2 linked regions of the Elephas maximus indicus genome follow. The protein of the gene in region 2 interacts with the protein of the main gene of each other region in a pairwise test. Links are inferred from orthologs where the notes say so. Each region holds a gene or a part of one and is shown on either strand. Other genes may lie near its edges.

The links. The genes of interacting proteins can lie anywhere in the genome.
Region 1: the proteins of BNIPL (region 2) and GFER interact in a two-hybrid assay, tested with the Homo sapiens proteins (2 studies listed by BioGRID and IntAct). The link is inferred for Elephas maximus indicus from reciprocal best matches to the Homo sapiens genes BNIPL and GFER.

What each region holds. Positions count from the first base shown.
Region 1 is NC_064830.1:59,084,415-59,094,578, reverse strand, and holds GFER (FAD-linked sulfhydryl oxidase ALR), read right to left. Parts: upstream 4,807-10,164; 5' UTR 4,706-4,806; coding exon 4,445-4,705; intron 4,064-4,444; coding exon 3,867-4,063; intron 2,557-3,866; coding exon 2,394-2,556; 3' UTR 238-2,393; downstream 1-237. Other genes in the region: TBL3 (transducin beta-like protein 3), read right to left, coding at 9,850-9,959, 10,038-10,164.
Region 2 is NC_064821.1:185,095,800-185,106,470, forward strand, and holds the start of BNIPL (bcl-2/adenovirus E1B 19 kDa-interacting protein 2-like protein), read left to right. Parts: upstream 1-5,968; 5' UTR 5,969-6,082; intron 6,083-6,247; 5' UTR 6,248-6,312; intron 6,313-6,529; 5' UTR 6,530-6,570; coding exon 6,571-6,757; intron 6,758-8,448; coding exon 8,449-8,631; intron 8,632-8,824; coding exon 8,825-8,927; intron 8,928-9,098; coding exon 9,099-9,230; intron 9,231-10,149; coding exon 10,150-10,236; intron 10,237-10,424; coding exon 10,425-10,523; intron 10,524-10,671. Other genes in the region: exopolyphosphatase PRUNE1, read left to right, coding at 2,483-2,911. UniProt on the Homo sapiens protein: May be a bridge molecule between BCL2 and ARHGAP1/CDC42 in promoting cell death.

The DNA of each region.
Region 1 (10,164 bases), on a different chromosome or scaffold from region 2:
GTGTGCATCAGGATTGTATTCTTTCACCATACCTGTTCAATCTGTATGCTAAGCAAATAATACAAGAAGCTGGACTATATGAAGAAGAACAGGGCATCAGGATTGGAGGAAGACTCATTAACAACCTACGTTATGCAGATGACACAACCTTGCTTGCTGAAAGTGAAGAGAACTTGAAGCGCCTACTAATGAAGATTAAAGACCACAGCTTTCAGTATGGATTGCACCTCAATGTAAAAAAAAAAAAAAAAAAATCCTCATAACTGGACCAATGAGCAACATCATGATAAACAGAGAAAAGATTGAAGTTGTCAAGGGTTTCATTTAACTTGGATCCACAATCAACAGCCATAGAAGCAGCAGTCAACAAATCAAAAGACGCGTTGCACTGGGTAAATCTGCTGCAAAAGCCCTCTCTAAAGTCTTGAAGAGCAAAGATGTCACCTTGAGGACTAAGGTGCGCCTGGCCTGAGCCATGGTATTTTCAATCGCATCATATGCATGTGAAAGCTGGACAATGAATGAGAAAGACCGAAGAAGAATTGACTCCTTTGAATTGTGGTGTTGGTGAAGAATATTTAATACAGCATGGACTGCCAAAAGAACGAACAAATCTGTCTTAGAAGAAGTACAACCAGAATGCTCCTTAGAAGCAAGGATGGCGAGACTGTGTCTTACATACTTTGGACATATTGTCAGGAGGGATTGGTCCCTGGAGAAGGACATCATGCTTGGCAGAGTACAGAGTCAGCGGAAAAGAGGAAGACCGTCAACGAGGTGGATTGACACAGTGGCTGCAACAATAAGCTCAAGCATAACAACAATTATAAGGATGGCTCAGGACCAGGTAGTGTTTCGTTCTGTTGTGCCTAAGGTCACTATGAGTCAGAACTGACTCGATGGCACCTAACAACCACCACAACAATTTTGCCTCATTAACTACAGGCAGAGATTAGAATTTACAACTCAAAGGAAAATTACATCAATCATAAAATGAAAAACCACCACACAATACTGGGAATCATGGCCTAAACACATATTTTTGGGGTGCACAATTCCATGTATGGCACCCTCCCTTCCAGGGGCCTGAGCAGCTCCCCTCAGCTCCCTCCACACAAGGCCTGATGGAGATGGGCCCTTGCCCAGTGGGCGGCCAAGACACTTTGGGGTGGAAGTGGCCAGGACTTTATGACCACAGAACAGGGGGCACAGGTTGTTGCTGGGAGCTGAGACCTGAGAGTGGGTGGGGTGGGGCTGAGCAGATCTTGGCAGGCCCAGAGCAGGGTCTCGGTCACCCCCCAAGCCTGCTCCACCCCACAGATGTTGCTTTGATCCAAGCCCCTGGAGTCCCCTTTAGCTCCTTTCTCACCCCTGAATTCTCGTGGCTCTACCTTCGAAAATATCCAGCACTGGGCCATTTCTGACAGGTACCACTCTAGCCCCAGGGCAGCCTCCCTTTCAGCTCTCCTCTAACCTCCTAGCTTACACCCTCTTGTCTGCTTCAGTGAAGTAGCCAGGTGCTTTCAAAAGTCAGGTCCCACCACTCCTCTTTGCCAAGCCCTCCAAGAGCTTCCTGTCAGGCTGGGAGTAAACCAAGACCCTGCTGGAATGGAAAGGCCTCTCCTGTCACCTGTTCTCCCCGCCCATCCCCACTCCAACTACGCAGCCTCCTTGCCGTTCCTGGAGTGTGCCAGGCCCACTCAGGCCTCAGGACTCCCCCTCCTCACAGGCAGCCAGCACTCTGACGGGAGGCAGCCGCTGAACACAGAGGGAAGAGGGCAGGCCCCGAACCCTGCAAACAACACAGGCAGCCCGGTCCTCAGTCAGTTCCACAACATTTTATTTTGGTCTCAACCTCAGAGGCAGCCGGCCCCTGCTGGCAATCCTGGCCAGCCACGGACAATGCTGTGTGTAGGTCTCCAGAAATATCCTGCTGAGCTCTCCCTGCAGGAAGCTGAGCAGGGTGGAGAGCTATCCCAGGCCACCTCCCTGAAGCACACAGGACATAAATGCTTTGGCCAGAACATTGTAGAGTCACTGGCTACACGGTTACGAGGCAGCAGGCTGGCCTTGTGGGGTGGACGCGTGGAAGCCCAGCCAGGCCTGTCTCCTGGCTGCCCCTTCCATTTCTGGGCAGAAGGCCACATCCCATCTGGCACAGGGGCAGCCCAGGCCACTCCTGCCTCACTCACCTGCAGCTCCCACCCCTGCGGGCCCTCAGCTGAGGGAAGGCCATGGGGGTGTCTGCCGCGGGCACCTCCCGACCTGAGAGGGCAGGCCCCGTGGGTAGCGTCCCGGGGCCACCCAACTGAGATGGGACAGGCTCTGGCTCTGATGCACTTTAATGAACGCTCCACCCACTGCAGTGGCCAGCTGGCTCCTACACCCGCCCACTAGTCACAGGAGCCGTCCTTCCAGCCATCGCGCCAGCGCTCATCCACCTGTGAGCAGTCGAAGTCTGGCTTGCCCAGCTTGTGGTTCACCTCGTTGTGCAGGTGGCACAGCCACTGGGTGAAGTGTGCCCGAGTGCGCGTGTCCGGCTGGTTCTGGCATATCCTAAGAGCAGAGCACAGAGATGATGGAGGGGGCAGCTGGCCCTACCCCTGCCCCCAGCCAGCACCTAGTCTGCTCCTGAGGGAAGAAGGCTGCTGAGAACTACACCAAGAAGAAACCCCTAAGGAAGGGACAGCAAATTCCCAGGAGAAGGCTGACCCTGCAGAGCCCTGGGCCTTGGTGGGCTCCCAGTCTGCTCAAAAACTTGCCCAGGGTCCAATAGTGTATGATACCACTTATACGAACCATCTAGAACAAACGCATTCAGAAACAGAAAGCAGATTAAAAGTTACTGGTGGCGTAGTGGTTAAGAGCTACATCTGCTATCTAAAACGTCAGCAGTTTGGGTCCAGCAAACACTCCGTGGAAACCCTATAGGTCAGTTCTACTGTCCTATAGGGTTGATATGAGTCAGAATTGACTGGACAGCGATAGGTTTGGTTTTTTGGGTTAGATGCTGGACGGAGGAAAATAGGAAATCACTGCTGAAAGGGTGCAGACTTTCGTTTGGGGGATGAAAACTTGGAAATGGACAGCTGTGATGGTCATAGAACATGGCAAATTGTACACTTACAAAATAATTAAAACGACAAATTTCATGTTATACCTATTTAACCACAATAAAACTAGAAAAAACACCGCTACCAAAAACCCCACCCATGGCCCTTAGCAAACCTAATGCAAGCCCCAGGCAAGACATTAAAGAGCATAGCAGGCAACATTACAATCTCCTAAGAACCTGGAAGCCTCACCCCAGCCTCCCTGGCCTCATGAGCCAGACACAGCAGGTATAATTGAAAACCAGGCAGTTCTTGGCACCCGAGGCCCTGCTGCCTCACCTCAGCAAGAGACTTTGCTCTGTTGCGCAGGCTTCAGACAGCCAGGGCTGTCCCACCCCACACGTGGAAGCTCTGAGAAGGCCCTGCCAGAGGTGTGGGAGAGGACACCTGGGTGGGCCACACACCAAAGCCTAGGAGCAAAAGCAGTGGGTTCCCAAGGTCTGAAAGCCAGCAGCCCTGCTCCAGAAGTCAGGCAGAGTGCAGTCGTCATTGTGGTTAAGTGAGAGACTGCATTGAGAAGGCTCTCCTGAGAGCCTTGTGGTACAACAGGAAGTATCTTCCAGCAGACCCAGGCAGTTTGGCCTCTGAGGGGGAAAAGAGATGGCCCAAGAACCTAATCCCCACTCTGCTGAGCTCCCAGCTCCTTCGCCACCCTCTGCTGCTCCTCCACGTATTTCTAGGTTCTCCCCTATGACATCACCTCCAACTCAGGCCTCTCGGTTCAATGCTCTCACCTGTGCACACACAACTCACCTCTTCCTTATGTCTTCGGCACACTCCTCGCACGGGTAAAACTTGGAAAATAAGTGTATGAACTGGGCCATGTCTTGCTGCTGTTCCGGAGTGGGCAGGTCGGGGTAGTAGGCAGCCAGGGTGTGGAGGACAGCCCAGCTGTGGCGGCCCAGTTCCTCCCGATCTTGAGGGCAATCCTCCCTAAACTTGCTCTCCTGCTGCAGAAAAAAGTAGACCAAGGGTCAGTTCAATCTCCTCAATCAAAAGAGCGCAAACCTCACCTTTTCCTGCCCCACTCGGAGGCCCACTCTCTCCAGACAGCAGTTCAGCAGCCGATTCAGCCCATGAGAGGCTGAGACAGACAAGGCCAGGCCTACCTTGAGGGGGTCAAAGTTAGGCATAGCGGATAGGCAAAAGTCAGGAATGAGGCCTATCGGACCGCTCGGCCTCGGCCTATTGGGGCGTCTCCCAGGGGCACCTGAGAATAAGGTGAGGGGGCTCAGGAGGCAGGGGACGAGGGGGGTGTGCGGGTGGGGGCTGGAGGGTCGGACGGGGCTCACAGGCCTCGGCCGGGAGGTGGCGCCCCTGGGCACGTGCACCTTTCGCTGCGTCCGCATCCAAGTCTTGAAATCCACGCAGGCCCGGCAGGGCCGCCTCCGGGAGGCGTCCTCCTGCGGCTCGGGGATCTGCGCTAGAGCTGGCGTCGGGGCGGGGGCGGCGGCATCTCTGCGCCCCGCGCCCCGGCCCCGGCCCCGCGCGTCGGTCGCCAGGTCGTCCACCACCTCGGAGCGCGCGCCGCCGGGCAGGAAAGAGAAAAGTCCCCCGCAGCCGAACCGCCCCCGCTCACCGGGCGCCGCCATCTTGCTCGCGCAAGGGCTGCCGGGCCAGCTCGGCCTCCAGAGCGGCCTCCAGGTTGGCCTCCAGGTCAGCGCGCCGCCGCATGAGCCTGGGACGCGCGCTGCGGGCGTGGCGGCTGGGTTTGGGCTGGGGCTGGGGCTGGGGCTGGGGCTGGGGGCGGGGCTGGAGGCCGCCTCCCGGACGGGGGTCCGGGCCCCTGCGGCGGCGGCGGGGCGGGAGGCCAGCACCCTGCCCGCGACCCTCGGCCTGCGTCCGCGTCCCGGGCCCGGCTTCCGTTGCGCGGAGCGGCGCTCCCGCTTCCTCCAGTAAAAGACCAGTGTGGTGTGGAAGCTGCGGCGCGGCGCGCTGGGCTCGGGCTGAGGCGCAGGCGAAGTCCAGGTGGAGGCCCGCGAAGACCCCATCGCTGCACTCGGACTGTCCCGGGTGCCCATAGCCGGGCTCTGTGCCTTTCCTGAGACTGGTGGTGCGCCCACCGGCGCAATACCCCGGCACCTGGCAACGGGCGCTTGGCAACGCGGGGCGGGGCCCTAACGGCCAAAAAGGTAGTGCGCGTCTCGGCTGCTGCGCGCACCCATCTGCTCCAGAGGGCAGTGCCTCCTCGGACCCTACAGCTTGGATAAGGGGTTAAACCCTCCCGAGGAACGGACTCAAGCCTACTTCAGCTTCCTTATGGTCATTCATTCATTCTGCACATATTGGTGCCGGTCTTCTTTGTTCCAAGGACTGTTCCAGGTGCTGGACAGAACAGGAACAAGGCTCCACCCTTGAAGGCCTCAGCTCATAGTCCAATGGTCAAGACAGAAACAACCAACACAGAAGCACACAAATAAATATTCACTTACAAACAGTGGGTAGGGGCATGTACCAAACCCAGTGCTGTCGAGTCAGTACAGGGCATGGTAAATTCAGGAAGCCACTGAGGAGGTGACCCTTCAGTAGAGACCTGAAGGGTGATGAATAATGCCTGAGGAGGGCAGTCAAGGCCCAGGGCCCGAGGTAGCAGGATGCTGGTGATGGTGACCAGAAGGGAGGTCCAGGAGTGGGCAGGGGCTGTCACACAGGACCTTGGCCTCTGTGGGACTGGGAATTTAAGGGTGTTGGGAAGGTGCTGGATGGTTCTGGGAAGAACCAGTGGACATAATCTGTTTTCTGTTTGCAAAGGTCATATGGGGAGAGGGTTTTATGGGACAGCATTGGCAGTGAGGAGCTGTGGTGGGTAGTGGTTGTGGAGAGGAAGGGAGTGGGGAGGATCCAGGGTTGATGGGGTTGGGCATTGTGATCAGGAGGGGCCATAGCATTCCCCTAGATTGCTGGCTACGAGTGAGCCCTCACCTTTCCCTGGCTTCTCTCTTCTCTCTTCCAGAGAAGCAGGCTCTGGACCCTCAGCATGGTCTCCTGAGGATGGATGGAGGGTGATAGCTGAGTTGAAATCAAGCTTTGATTCAGACCTGTGTCAGCAGGTGCTCATCACCTGGGTGGAGACCAGGGCAGGTGTGAGGGCTCCGGGGGGGGGGGGTCCTCTGGCCAGACAGACACACATACACACAAAGGCCTTTTGATGAAAAAAGAAAATGATGAGGCCAGGGCAAATTCCTGGAGAAATGTCTAGGGAACAGAGACTCCTGAGAAAGCTGGGTCCCCAGTTCCAGGAAGAATCACTGCTCTTCCTGTGGGTTGGATGGGGCTCCGGAAGTCTCCTCTATAAGAAGGTGGGGCACTTCCCCTATAAGTGGTGGGCACCCAGGCAAGCCTCTGCCCAGGGCTTCCACAGCCTCCCCGCCCCACTGCCCAGGCTGGTGGGGGAATGCTCACTTCTGCCCTCAAAGGCTAAGGGTGGGATTTTCCTTTGCAGTAAATTGTGACAAACTATGAATTTAGAGGCTGCTCCTTGAACAAGCCTGGCTGCCTGCCACCTCCCCCTTTTCCTTCTGGCCCAAGTCTCTTTACCATGTGGTAAACTTAGGGTGAGCCTGTGGGGGTCCACCCCCCATGTGCACATGTACAGAAAAACTCACATTAATTATCAGTTTAACATGAATTTCCTCATCTGTGGCTTGGGGGCATTAAGAGAACTGTTCTCTTAGCATTAAAAGAGACAAAGGACTCTAAAGCCCCTAGCACTGGGTAGGGATATTCCCGATGCAACTGCAGACAGCTCCACAGGCACGTACAAAGACAGAGCCTAGGGGTCCACCTACAGGAAGCCCTCCTGGCCCCAGCCCTGCACTAGAGGAGAGAAAGCTTGGGCCAGGCAGCACTTTGATGTGGGGACTGCCAGCCCTTCCCTCTCCTTCCACTGCCAGACTGGGACAGAAGGGCCTCACCCACAGTTCCAGTCCCTCCACCGCCCCTTCCTCAGGACACAAAGTCGTGCATACCTCCAGGGCCTCTGCCTTGGGCCTCCCAGCCCTGTGCTCCTGCCCCCCATATCTTAGAGTTAGGGGGCAGTGGGGGGAGCCTGCGAGGGACCCACAGCTGAACACCTCCCCAAGTGACAAGCCTGGCCAACTTCGGGCCTTGTCAGGGAATTTTGGCCAGCCCTGCCTGTTCCTGGGAGCCCCCAGCCGGCAGGGAGGAGGCAGGGACCACTGAGCCTCAGCCACTCAGCCATGGCAGGCCCCCGATACGTGGTGTGTGTGCGCGTCTACGCCCTGGTGCAGACCAGGAGACTCCAGGTACTCCATGGGGTCACTGGCAGCCCCAAAGGGGAAGGTGTAGTCCCTGGCCCCGCCCCTGCGAGGATCCCCAACTTTTTTTCCCTCAGAAGTTCTCCGTGCGCTGGTAGGACAGGCGGTGACACTTTCGTGCTCAGGCGTCGCGAAGAGTTCAGAAAGCTCCACGTGAGTGACCCTGGGGCGACCCCCGAGTCCCCGAACTGCCTCCAATGCATGACTCCCGAGTGACCCCCGCCTACGGGCTCTCCTGTGCCCCGCAGCTTCCAACCCCTACAGTCCCGACTCGGCCCCACCGTCGCGGAGGACCCCTGAGCTCTCGGAGACCTATCCGCCGGCTTTTTGCCGCGGAAGACCCTTCAAGAGGCCTTCCAGATGGAGGCGGGCCTGCTGCGCAGATCCAACCTCATTCTCCCCGCGCTTCCTGGTCAGGCCGGGGGGGTTGGGACATGGGTGAGGGACCCCGAGACGGGGTCCCACATTCAACTCCTGTCTTGCTCCCACACGTGCCGCTGTTGGCGCGCGGGGGACGCACGGGCCGCGGGCTGGCTTGCCTCCGGCTCCTAGAGGCTTATGTCCAGATGCTGCTGATGGCGGTAGAAAGCGTGTCCCGGCGCCTGGCGCTCAACAGCTTCTTCGCGCCGCAAATCCTGGACCTGTAGCCCACGCTGCCACCCGGCAGGTGCCTGACCTACCCCAACTCCCAGCCACAGAGGCATTTGGAGGATGGGGAAGCACAGGGTGTATGGGTAGGAGGGGTCACGCAAAGACTGGGAGATTGGGCAGATTTGTGAGAGGTGGGGATGGTGGGTCCATTCCCACCTATCACCTGCAATCCTCCTCAGCCTGGTGATTCCGACCGCCCGGAAGGAGCCTCTGCCGGACCCTGTGGGCAGGCTTGACATCCGCAGCCTGGAGGACCAGAGACTGCACTGCCTACTGCACCCAGGACACACGGGGCCAACCCTTCCATGTGCAGGCCCGGGAGGCCCTGGATGTGCTACTGCGACAACCCTCGGGTAGGGCTGGGGAGGAGTCTGGGCTGCCCTCTGCCCCTGATCCCAGCGGGCCTCGGGATCTGAAACCCCGCCGCACTGGCGCACAGGCTGGTGCCTGGTGGAGAACAAGGACAAACAGATGGCCTGGTTTCCCTCTCCCTACCTGGAGGAGGTGGCCCCAGGCCAGGTGCGGGAGGGGGACACCGCCGCGCGGGAGCAGCAGTACGGGCCCTCCAATGCCTGCCAGCACAGTTTGAGCAGAGGAAGAAAGTACCCCAGCCGAGGAAGGAGGCCGTGGGTTTGGGCGGGTGTAAAAGTGGGTGGCAGGGTCCTCATAGCAAGGAGGCCCTAGTGGGCTTGAGCAGTCTCTGACATTAGCAGAGATCCAAACAGAACTGGGAGGTGGTGACTCAGCAGGAGATGACGAGGACCCGATGAGCGCCTCCCCCCATACCCACAGGCAGGGCTGCAGTTCTGTGCTTCCCGCGCCTACAAGAGCGGCGGAGCTAATGAGCTCTGTGCCCGCTGGGGCGCAAGTGCGCGTGCTGGAGAGGTCAGATTGCGCCTGGTGCCTGAGCAAGTGCGCGGGCGTAGTTCAGGCGCGGCCAAGCCAGGCGGGGGCGGGGCCGAGCTCTAATCTAACTCCGCCCCTCCTCGCAAGTATGTCGGCCGTGCGGGCCTTCTGTCTGCGGTGCTGCTGCGGCCTGACGCGCTGGGCGCGCTTCTGGGCAGGGCTGCCGGCTGGAAACAGTGCGGGGCAGGCCCTGGAGCACTTCCCGGCCACAACCCCGCCCGGCCCCAGCCGACTGCCATTCAGAGCTGCTGAAGCATCATCATCACCCACAGGGCACTGGGTAAGGACCCAGACCCGCTTGAAGGTGTGCGGAACTGAGTAGGGAGGGTTGACACTGCACTCCGGCCGGGAGGGCGGAGCCCTAGACCATGCTGGAAGGGCCCTGGCTCCAGAACTGCCTGGGATAGGGTCCTACCTAGCTCAGAGAATGCCCCTCTAGGTTTCCTTCAACTGGAGGCTCCGACCCTAGGGGCCTACTAATGCAGCAGCACCATCTGGTGCTGGAGAAGTGAGATGAGACCAACCTCTTTTGTGGCCACAGCTTCCTGTTTCCTCTGAGTAAAGCTGTTCTGAATAAACCCAGTCTGATCGCACTGAGTGGAAATGCTGGTGGCATAGTGGTTTAGTGCTACGGCTGCTAACCAAGAGGTTGGCAGTTCAAATCTGCCAGGTGCTCCCTGGAAACTCTATGGGGCAGTTCTACTCTGTCCTATAGGGTTGCTATGAGTCGTAATCGACTCAATGGCAGTGGGTTTGGTTTTTTGGTTTGGTCGCACTGAGGGGTGGGCTGGTGGGACCTCAGTCAGGGTGCAGAGAAGGGACTGTGGCCAGGGACCTGGGATGACAGTGCTGCTCAGAAAGACACCAGAGGCAGGATAGAAAAGTACACCTTTATGCATGTCTCAGAGGGCTGGGGGGGCAGCTGGGAGCGGGGACAGCTTCATGTTGTGCCACAGGAAGTCCAGGAAGGTGGCTGCTTGCAGCGTCCGGCTGAGCCGCTGGAAGTGCCGTTCTGGGGGAGGACAGAGGTGGGTCAGGAGGTCCCTGGGGCCCAGTGCCTGCCCCACCCACCCCAGGCCGTGCTATGCACCGGTGTAGGGCAGCAGGGCTTCCAGCGCAGCCTGCAAGCCCTCATAGGCCAGCAGCTCCTCGGGGGCCTCATGCTGTAGGAGCACACCCAGCACAGCCTGGGCCTCGTGGCAGTGCCGAGAGTTGGT
Region 2 (10,671 bases):
TTGTTGAGAAAGGGGGATTCCAAAGAGAATTAGAGACATAATTCCTACTCAGAAGGAACTGTTATAAATCTGTAGTTAGAACTTGATTTTTCATTAATTCCTCACCCCTGAAAACGAGTTCTTTTCTTCCTACTGTACTGCCTTAAAGACTGGAAACACAAGAGAGACCTTTTCTACTCCTTAGCATTCAGGGATTCATGATTGCTCTGTAGAGTGAGAACTCTGTAGAGAAGCCATCTTGTAGAGGTATGTTTTCTTTCCGAACCTTCCATTTGGCCACCTTTCCCCATCTCTTCTCCCTTCTGCTTCTCTCTTGGTTACTGATTAACTCAGGGAAGAATTTTAAAATGGACTTAAGGCAGTCCAGGGGCTGATTTGCTTGGGCTGTGTGAAGGTTACTGAACACCGCCAGGTAAACTTTTTCACCCACAAAAGGTATGTCTGCCCTCTCCCACTTCTCTTTTCTTTCAGGAAGCAAATGTAATTTCATTCTGTGGAAGGTAGTTTGGCGTTGTGGAAAGTCAGATAGACTTGCTTTTCTGTCCCAGACTTATTTTCTGCCACTTAACTAGCTCTTTGGGCTAAGACAAGTCAGTTAACCTCTGAGTCTATTTCCTCATCTATAAATTGCATAACAGTACCTACCTCATTGGTCTGATGCGCTAATTAAACATACTATATGTAAAGTATATTGCTAGGCACAAAGGAAGCACCTGGTAAATGGTGGCTATTCCTAATAATATCATGAAGGAAGGGGTGCTTTGACACAAGAAGTGCTTCTCCCAGCCTTCCTGAATCTCATCCCTCTGTGCTGCTCCTCTGAAGCTGTGTGGCTGCCTGAGAACTCTGCCACCGCCCAGGCTGCCTTTGTGCTGGGAAACATGAGGCCCTTTTTTATGGTCTACCTCGCCATCTCCGCTCTTCCTCTGATTTTCCAGTTAAAAAAAAAAAAAACAGTTACCATCAAGTTGATTCTGACTTATGGCACCCCATGTGTGTCAGAGTAGAACTGTGCTCCACGGGATTTTCAATGGCTGCTTTTTCAGACGTAGATCATCAGGCCTTTCTTCCAGGGCACCTCTGGGTGGACACGAACCACCAACATTTTGGTTAGCAGCCAAGCATGATATGTTAGGGGTAGTATAATATAGTGATTTAGCTTGGATCAAAGGAGAATGAAGAACACCAAGGTCACAAGGTAATTATGAGCCCAAGAGACAGAAAGGGCTACATGAACCAGAGACTGCATCAGCCTGAGACCAGAAGAACTAGATGGTGCCCGGCCACAAACGATGACTGCCCTGACAGGGAGCACAACAGAGAACCCCTGAGGGAGCAGAAGAACAGTAGGATGCAGACCCCAAATTCTTATTAAAGACCAGACTTAATGGTCTGACTAAGACTAGAAGAATCCTGGAGGTCATGAACCTCAAACCTTCTGTTGGCCCAGGACAGGAACCATTCCTGAAGCCAACTCATCAGACATGGATTGGACTGAACAGTGGGTTGGAAAGAGATGCTGATGAGGAGTGAGCTACTTGCATCAGGTGGACACTTGAGACTATGTTGGCATCTCCTGTCTGGAGGGGAGATGGGAGGGTAGAGAGGGTTAGAAACTGGCAAAACGGTCACAAAAGGAAAGACCAGAAGGAGGGATGGGGCTGACACATTAGGGGGAGAGTAAGTGGGAGTATGTAGTAAGGTGTATATAAATTTATATGTGAGAGACTGACTTGATTTGTAAACTTTCACTTAAAGCACAATAAAAATTATTAAAAAAAAATATATATATATATAGTGATTCAGAACACAGGCTTCGGTGACAGACCTGGGATCGAGTCTTCAGCTTTGTTTCATACTAACTATTATCTTAGGCAAGTAACTTAACCTCTCTAAGCCTCAGTTTCTCCACCTGTAAATAGGGGTAGTAGTAATACCAATCTTAGAAGGTTGTTACGAGGGTTAAATGAGATAATACTTGTAAGCAGCCAGACTTGACACCATGCCTGGGTACTTCTCAATATTATGTATCTCCTGCTCCCACTTTGTTTATTCACTCTTTTTGCCTCTGCCCTTTCCCTGACCACAAGATAGATGCTAGTTCTTTCCCAGCTAAAGTTAGGGTTCAGGTTTTTGAGTACAAGAATATACTTGGAAGCAACTCTATGCTAGGAACTGGGGACCTGGGCTCTGGTTCAGACTCTGCTATTATCTGCGTGATTTTGCACAATACTCTTAGTATTTCTGAGCTTTGGGTTCCTCGTTTATAAAATGAAATATGTGGTCTCAAATGTTTCTTCTGCTTCGAAAATACTGTGTATATTAGCTGAGGTTCCTTTTGTTGTGAGAAATAAAACTGAACTCTGGATGACTTAACCAAAAAAAGGTTTTCTCTTCTGTTAGGGAAGCCTCTAATTTAGAAGCCTTGGCTCTTTGCTACTCAACCTTAAGTATCACTCCCCTGTTCTTGTTTCTTTTTCAGATCTGCGGAGTCCTGGAACGCTCCGATGCTCCATCCCTGAAGTTAACTCCTATCCCAAGCACCCATCCTAACCTCCAAGCCTATCTTCAAGGCAACACCCAGGTCTCCCGAAAGAAGCTCCTGCCTCTGCTCCAGGAAGCCCTGTCAGCATATTTGGACTCCATGCAGATCCCTGCTGGGCCACCTGAAATAGTGGGTGTGTCCAGGGAGCAGGTGGACAAGGAAATGAACAGGGCAGGTAACTCCCTGATTCCTGGAGTGAGTCAAGATGAGGAAGACCCTCCATTGCCCCCAACGCCCATGAACAGTTTGGTGGATGAGTGCCCTCTGGATCAGGGACTGCCTAAGCTCTCAGCTGAGGCCATCTTTGAGAAATGCAGCCAGATCTCGCTGTCACGGTCGACCACCGCCTCCCTATCAAAGAATTGACTGTTGGGAGGGGAGGGGAGAATGGGAAAGTTTCTTAACCCACTTCAAATGCATGTTTTGAGATGTTTGGAGATTTCAGCAACTCTGTCTTCATTGCTCCAGGATCTGGTGTATTGTTCTCATAAAAGCCGGGAGGAGGAAGAAGTAAAAGAAAGCAGCTGCTTTAAAAACGGCTTTCTACCTTCCCCTCAATCTCTACCAATCAAACAGATGTTATTATTTAGGTATTATTTAATTTTATTCTTTAAATCTGCACTGACTTTTCTCTATTTCATTACCCAGGGGCACAATGCAATACACATACAGTGCCAACAGAATGGGACAAAAAGAATGTGTACCCCCAGTGTGGCCTCAGCAAGGATCTTGAACAGAACTAATGTCATATAGAACCGTACAATCATTGATTATCTCCATTTTATTCATTTATTTGTGTACTCATTCAAATATTTATTGAATACCTACTTGAATCTAGATAGAAAGTAGAATGAGACTCTTGCTCCAGTTTTTAGCCTTTAGCAGATTTCCCATTCCATGACTCTTCTTTCTGCCCTCAGTTAGTTAATGGTGTTTGATTCAGAGATGGCTGAATTTCCATTTCTGACCTTGCTGTGACTCTTCTAGATCTTGTTTGGTAGCAGATTGGAGGCCATTATCTTCCATCCTAATCAGGTGGCCTGACTCTCAGGTTCTTTAGCTTATTCTGTTCCAGAGCCACAGGAACCCTGAAGACCCCTGGTTCTTGAGAGTCCAGCAGGCACCCAGGAAGGCCATTAGATCTCATAGGCATTCTTCCCAAAAGACAACAGAACTGGAATGAGAGCCCTGGCTCTGTTCCCTGCCTTAGCAGGTCTACCACTTTCTTGTCCATCTCTTTCTCTTCACTTCTTGCTCATATTAAAAGACAGCATGGAGTAGCTGGATTCTAATACTGACTGCCATGACTGTGTGTCTTTTGGCAAGACACTTCACGTCTCCGGATCTGACTTTGCCCATCTGTAAATTAAAGGTTTGGATTAGATGTTCTCTGGTATTCTGTGATCTGCCTCTTGCTGCCATCTTTTCTTTCTTCTGCGTCTCTGTATTTTTCTTCTGTCTTCTCTGGGAATGGCCAGGGTCACTGAGTTGTGTGTATTTATGTGTGATCATACCAAGGGACTTGGCCTCATGTAGCATGTTCAGAATTATGACTCACCATAGCGACCCAACAAAGAGCTCTCTCCCACTGATTTGTTCTGCATGCGTAAAGTCTCCCTTTTTTCTTTAGACCAAGTCATCCCTCCTTGTCTTACCCCACAGCTCTAGTCCATGTAGGTTGCCAACAACTTCACTGAACATTAGTGTATCGGATGGTTTTGGCATGACATCTTCTACTGTGAGGGGGACAGTCTGAGTTCACTTTGAAGGGATGATGTCTGTAGTCATTTGGAAGGTAAAAATAGTGGTGTAATCACTGAACCAAAGGAATTTATGTTTTGTAACTTGGGTACTTTATTTTGCATTTTGTTAAAGTATTAAATATTCTTTTCCTGTTTGGGGTCCTATTGTCTGTTTTTACCACTGTAATGAGGCCTTTCCCTCTGATAATTTTTCAGCCTCCTAAAGACTCATACCCCCTCTTCCTCCTGACAACCCCTTTTGGGAATAAGGAGCAGCAGGCTTCCATCTCCCCTCATCCTCAGCCTTTAATTTGTTTCTTCTTCCAGAACTCTTCTTATACTTCTCACTCCCCAATTTGGCTTATGCCTGAAAAATAGGCCTAAGATAGTCTTATAGCCAAAATGGTTTTTACTGCCCCCCTTTTTTTAAAAAAGCAGCTTCCAGAAGGTTATCCAAAAAAAAAAAAAAAACACCAAACCCATTGCCATCGAGTTGATTCTGACTCAGCGACCCTATAGGGATCTGGGAAGGAGAACAAATTGCCTTACGAAGACTAGCCATCCTAGGAAATGCTCTCTCCTCCCCAAAACCCGCCCCCACACAGGAGGCAGGGTTTCTCTTGGGCAAACCAGCTCCTTGGGAGGGAAGGTGGCAAAACCTGTTTGAAGATGCGTTTACCTCCCTTCTACACCTCCCTCATCCTGTGAAGCAACAGAAACAGCAGTGGAGACAGAGAAAAAGGGTACGGAAGTGTTGGGGAGCTGGGACAACCAGCTCCCCGACAACCCCAAGTGTTTAAAGGAGACAGAAGACTTGTGAAGATGGAAACGATACAAGAGGCAGGAGAAAAGGCAGTAGATCTTGGGTAAGTATTGCCTTGCTTATTGGAAACAGGAAATGAATAAATAGCCTAAGAGGCTTTCCTACGTCCAGTTTTTACCCAGTCAAATCTTAGGGTTCCTAGAGGAGAGGAGACAATGAGGGAATTAATTTGCCAAGAAGGAATGGAGGTGGCTGTAGGTAGGAAATGTCAATACGGTATAGTAACTGGGTGACGGGATTGCAGAACAATCCCCTGGTTAGAAAAAGGGAAGTTTCTAATTTTGTCTGATAAACCTGCCCATATTTTCCATTTTCCAATCCGTACCTTCCAGAATGGCCATCAGGAAAGCTGACCCAGAACTGAGTTTAGGTCCAGGTTCTCCTTCCAGCTAATCTTTCCCTCCCTACCTTCCTTCTCTGCCCCGCCACCTATGCCATGGTTTCCTCTAGCCACTCCCCAGCACGGTAGAAGAAAGGCAGGCCTGACAAGGTGCCATCTTCCCCAGCTTTGCCCAGCGACAGCTGGGCGGGTCTGTCTGGGTTCCAGCCAACTGTAATGTTGAACACCTCTCACCCTGACTTTGTAGGTGGAGGCAAGCAACTGCCATGGAAGTAAATATAATTAGTTTCACATTCTATTTTTCCTCTGCTTCTAAACCTAATAGTTGGAGTAATCTGCTTTCAGCAAGTGGTGAAAATGGGAGAAATATCTGTCTAGGAGACAAAAGATCTGGGTTTTTTTTTAAAGGCCTGCTGTCTGCTGTCTGTACCTCAATTACTTTCTTCATTCCAATGTCCCCTACCTACAACCCAGCCCCATTAAGACACTGTCTATGTTGTCTCATGATAATCCTTTCTTCCGGGGGACTATCTTAGGACCAGGGAGAATGTAGAAGCAGCAGAACTAGGAGCTGCCCTGAGACTTGGGGAGCTGGAGCTGAAGGAGGACTGGCAAGATGAAGAATTCCCCGGGTGAGGAAGTGTGAGGGAGGTTGGGCTAAGGGAGGGATGGCGAATTAGGCCTGGAAGGAAAAAGAAAAGATGAAGTCAAAGCGAGGAGAGAGAATTGATAAACTGACATCTGGCTTGATGCCTTCAGCCTGTATCTTTGTCCCATTTTAATATCTTCCTCTCTAGATTGCTTTCTGTGGAAGCTGGCCCTTCTGAAGATCCTGAAGACCCAAAAGGAGACTCACAGGCAGGTAGGTAAAGTTGAAATGGCCTTCAGTTCCTAATTCTGGTCCAGTGCAGAGCTATGCCACCCTTATCCCTTTGCAGTTCTCTTTCTCCTTTCCCAAATGTCCCCTGTGTCAGGTCTTTCTTTTTCAGAGTTTACCCATATTTTACTTCCATATACAGGAATTCTAATTGGGTCCCCTAACTCTCACATATCTTTTGTTTTTTTTTCTCCAATCCCAGGTACGTACCCCAGCACTTTAGCTCTATGTGGCCGGCGCCCCATGCGTAAGCGTCTTTCTGCCCTAGAGTTGCAACTGGATCTGAATGAAGGGCCTGGAGGTAGTGGAGCTTCTTCCACCCATTCTGCACCTTCTTCTCCTGGTGGCAGTTCTGACCTGGACGTAGAGGAACTGGAGACCCCTTCAGACTCTGAGCAGCTGGACAGTGGACATGAGTTTGAATGGGAAGGTGGGAAACAAACCTGAGGATTAAGCTGGTAGAAGTAGAGGCCAGTGTTAAAGAAGCCCAGGATAGATTTAACGGTACTGAAATTAGAACTAGTAAGGTGAGGACTTAGAGATAAGGCCAGCAAAATCAATTTCCTCAGGATAGAAAGGTAGAGCTTATAGATCGAGTGTGAAAGTAGTCAGTAGGGGAGGGAAGGTCCTTTGTTTATTGAGAAAAACTTGATTGAATGACTATTAAATGCTCTCACGGAGCTAGGACTGGGGTTATAAAGATGAGTAAGATAGTCCCTACCCTCAGAGAATTTTCTGTTTAGTAGGGAATAAACATATATACAAATAAGTGCAATTAAGGGTTATGATCTACAAGTGTATAGGATACAGTCCAGCCATGGAAAAGGAGACGGTCGGTTCTGCCTGAGAGGTATCAGGAGTGGCTTCACAGAGAAAGTAAAGTATTGAAAGCTGAAGTTACCAGGTAGTTGGAGAAAAGACATTCTAGGCAGAAGAAGCAACTCAAGCAATAACATGGCATGTTGGGGAATTCGAAGTGTTAAGCATGACTATTTAGATGTGAAAGGTTGGGAGGTGAAGAGAGAATGACAAAAGATAATGCTGGAATAAGAAGACAGGGTCAAATCATGGAGGCCCTTGCTACCACGGTCAGGGGTTTAGATTTTGTCCTGTAGGCAATGGGAAGTCATTGAAATTTTTCATCAAAGGAGTAACATAATCAAATATGATGGCTCTGTAAAAGATTGGAAACAATCTAAAGGCCCATCAGTAGAGTATTAATGCTGTTATGGTGTATCCATACAATGGAATACTATGCAACTCTTTTTTTTTTTTTTAATATAGAAGTTCTTTCTATTGTTATGGAAAAGATCATGCAGAATGGTGGGTATAGAAAAAAAAAAGTAGGGGAGAGAAGAAAGCTTGCTCTTTGAGTTAGAAGAAACTAGAGGCAGGGAGATCAGTTAGGAGGCTAGTACAAAGGCCAGGTGAGAAGTGCTAAGAATCCAAACCAGTAGTGGAAAGGATGATGAATATTGTGGACGTAGATGAAAGAGGATCTGGGGTCCAGTTGGTTTCAGGGCTGACAAAGAGGGAAAAGTCTCAGATGACACACAGTTTTTTCTCTCAGGCAGCTGGATGGACAATGAGGTCATTCACCAAGATAGGAACTATAGGAGAGAGGAGGAAGAGAATGAGTATGAGTTCTGTTTTGGACCTGATGAATTGGAGATTACAGGGAGACACAGAGATGTCTACTCTAGGCATTTGGGAATATAGATCTGGAGTTAGGAGAGAAGTCTGGGTTAGAGTGGCAAAAGTGGTAGCCATCACCTTCCTGGTGATACCTGAAGACATGGAAATAGATGAGCTTGCCCAGGGAAAAGCATGTAAAAAAAGAAATAGAGAATCTAGAAAAAAATCTGATTCTATCAAGAGTCGTAGACCTGCCGTAGTGCAAGGTCATGCCAGGGCCACAGGCTAGTGAAAAAGTGGGGATAACGAGACACAGCTGAGAGAATCCAGCAAGGTATTGGGTTGATAGGACAAACTAGGGCTAAAGAGTCAAGGAAAAAATGAGGAATGAGAGATTGGAGTAATAAACCGTAGGAACCTGGGTAATATACAGGATACAGAAGGAGAGAATTCTGCCTTGTTGATCCTTCCATCCCTCTCTTTTAGATGAACTGCCCCGGGCAGAGGGTCCAGGACCCAGTGAGGCAGCTGAAAGGCTGGGTCGGGGTTGTGTGTGGGATGTGGCTGGAGAAGATGGTCGTCACTGGAAGGTATTTCGAACAGGACAGCAGGAGCAGCGAGTGGACATGACTGTCATCGAACCCTATAAGAAAGTCCTATCTCATGGAGGTAATAGCTGGCATAAAGGAAGGGGTAGGAACTGTGGCTTCTTGAATAAAATGCCTAGGCTAGAGACTGAGTTATTGAGTTCAAAATCCTTCCTTGTAACTTCCAGGGACCCTGAGACCCTCGACTTATACAAGTGTACTGTCTATCAATACGTATTTGTTGGCTGAATGAATTTTTCTCTTGTCCTCCCCAGGTTACCATGGTGATGGTCTCAATGCTGTCATCCTCTTTGCTTCCTGTTACCTGCCCAGAAGCAGCATCCCCAACTACACCTATGTCATGGAACACTTGTTTAGGTGAGGCAAAAGGCCTGAAGAGATACAGGGAGGGTATTAGGGAGGGAAAAGCAAAAAAAATGATCGCCTTCCAAGATCAGTTGAGCCAATTACAGAGTTTACAATAATCAGTCCCTTTCACTCCCCACAATCCCAAACACACGCTTTCCCTGGCAATTTCATCCCATCCAGGTATATAGTGGGAACTCTGGAGGTGCTAGTAGCTGAAAATTATCTACTTGTTCACTTGAGTGGAGGCACAAGTAGGGCCCAAGTTCCACCTCTGAGCTGGATACGCCAGTGTTACCGAACCCTGGATCGACGGTGAGACCCTAGGACGAGAGGGCCTCAACTCTCAATCTTCTTTCTTTTCCATTGTTCCATTCTTTCTTCTTCTGTCTAGTCCCTTCCTTTGTTTCTATGTCTTCTAAACCCTTTTCTAACCCTCTCCTGTCTTTTGTCCTCTCTCAGAGTCAGGGAAATCTGGTTTCAAATCCTGCCTTTACCACTAACTATGTGACCTTGAACAAGTCACTTAACTTTTCTGGTACAGTTTCCTTATCTGTAAAGTGGGACAGTTGGACTCTGTCCTATAGGGTCACCATGACTCAGAATCCACTCGACCGCACACAACAACAAAATGGAAATGATAGTACTTTTGCCACTGGGTATTTGAGGCAATCAAGTGAATCACTGTAGTGTATTGCCTGCACACAGAAAGCAGTCTTCCTTTTCTCCCGATCTTGCCATTTATTTCACTTTCCACATCTCCATTGTCTTCTTTTCTTTTCCGTCTTTATCCCCAACCCATATATTTTTTTCTTTAGCATTCCTTTTTTTTCTTTGTTTTCCCATCTTCCTTTTGCTCACTTTTCTCTTTCTTCATACTCTTTTTTCCAGATGGTCTTCTTCCATCTGGAGTTTGTAAAAAGTCCTGATCATGGAGGAATGGGGAAGCGTGAAAAAGAAAGTTAAAAAAAAAAGGCATAAGAATGAGGGAGGGAATAAGGAAATTGTGTGAGGGAAGAGCAAGAAGATAAGTGGGGTACAGAAGATGAGGCTGAGGGATCCTGAAAGAAACGTTTTTTAAGAATGAGGAGCACTGGATGGCTGAGATTATACCTAAAGGAATGGGGATTAGACAAAGCTGCCAGAGAAATCTAGAAATAAGTAAGGGAAGTTAAAGTACAGATGATTGCAAGAGGTGGAGGAAGAAATAGGGAAATCTCATATTCTTCTTCAGGCTCCGGAAAAATCTGCAAGCCCTAGTGGTTGTCCATGCTACGTGGTACATGAAGGCATTTCTGGCGCTGCTTCGGCCTTTCATCAGGTACTAGCTCTCAGGACAAGGACTCCCTTCCCCCTTTTTCCAATTTAAAAGTCAAGATGAGGAAGACTTTGCCTCACCCTGACCCTTTCTAGTCTTAACCACTCTCTGCTTGCTACATTTCTGTTTGCAAGGGTCTCCGGGAGCCCTCTTCCCAGTACAGAACACACTTGATTTATCCTCTTTTTCAGTTCCAAATTCACACGAAAGATACGGTTTCTGGACAGCCTGGGGGAGCTGGCTCAACTCATCTCTCTGGATCAGGTCCACATCCCCGAAGTTGTCAGACAGTGAGTCCTGAGCTTAAGGATGAAGGTTTGGGGTGGGATGTATAAAGCCAGTCCTCACTTTCTAAATGCTTTAGGGGAGATACAAAAGAAGACTGCACACACACAGAGAAGACATTAAAGACTACTGCATCTAAAAAGAACAAATTAA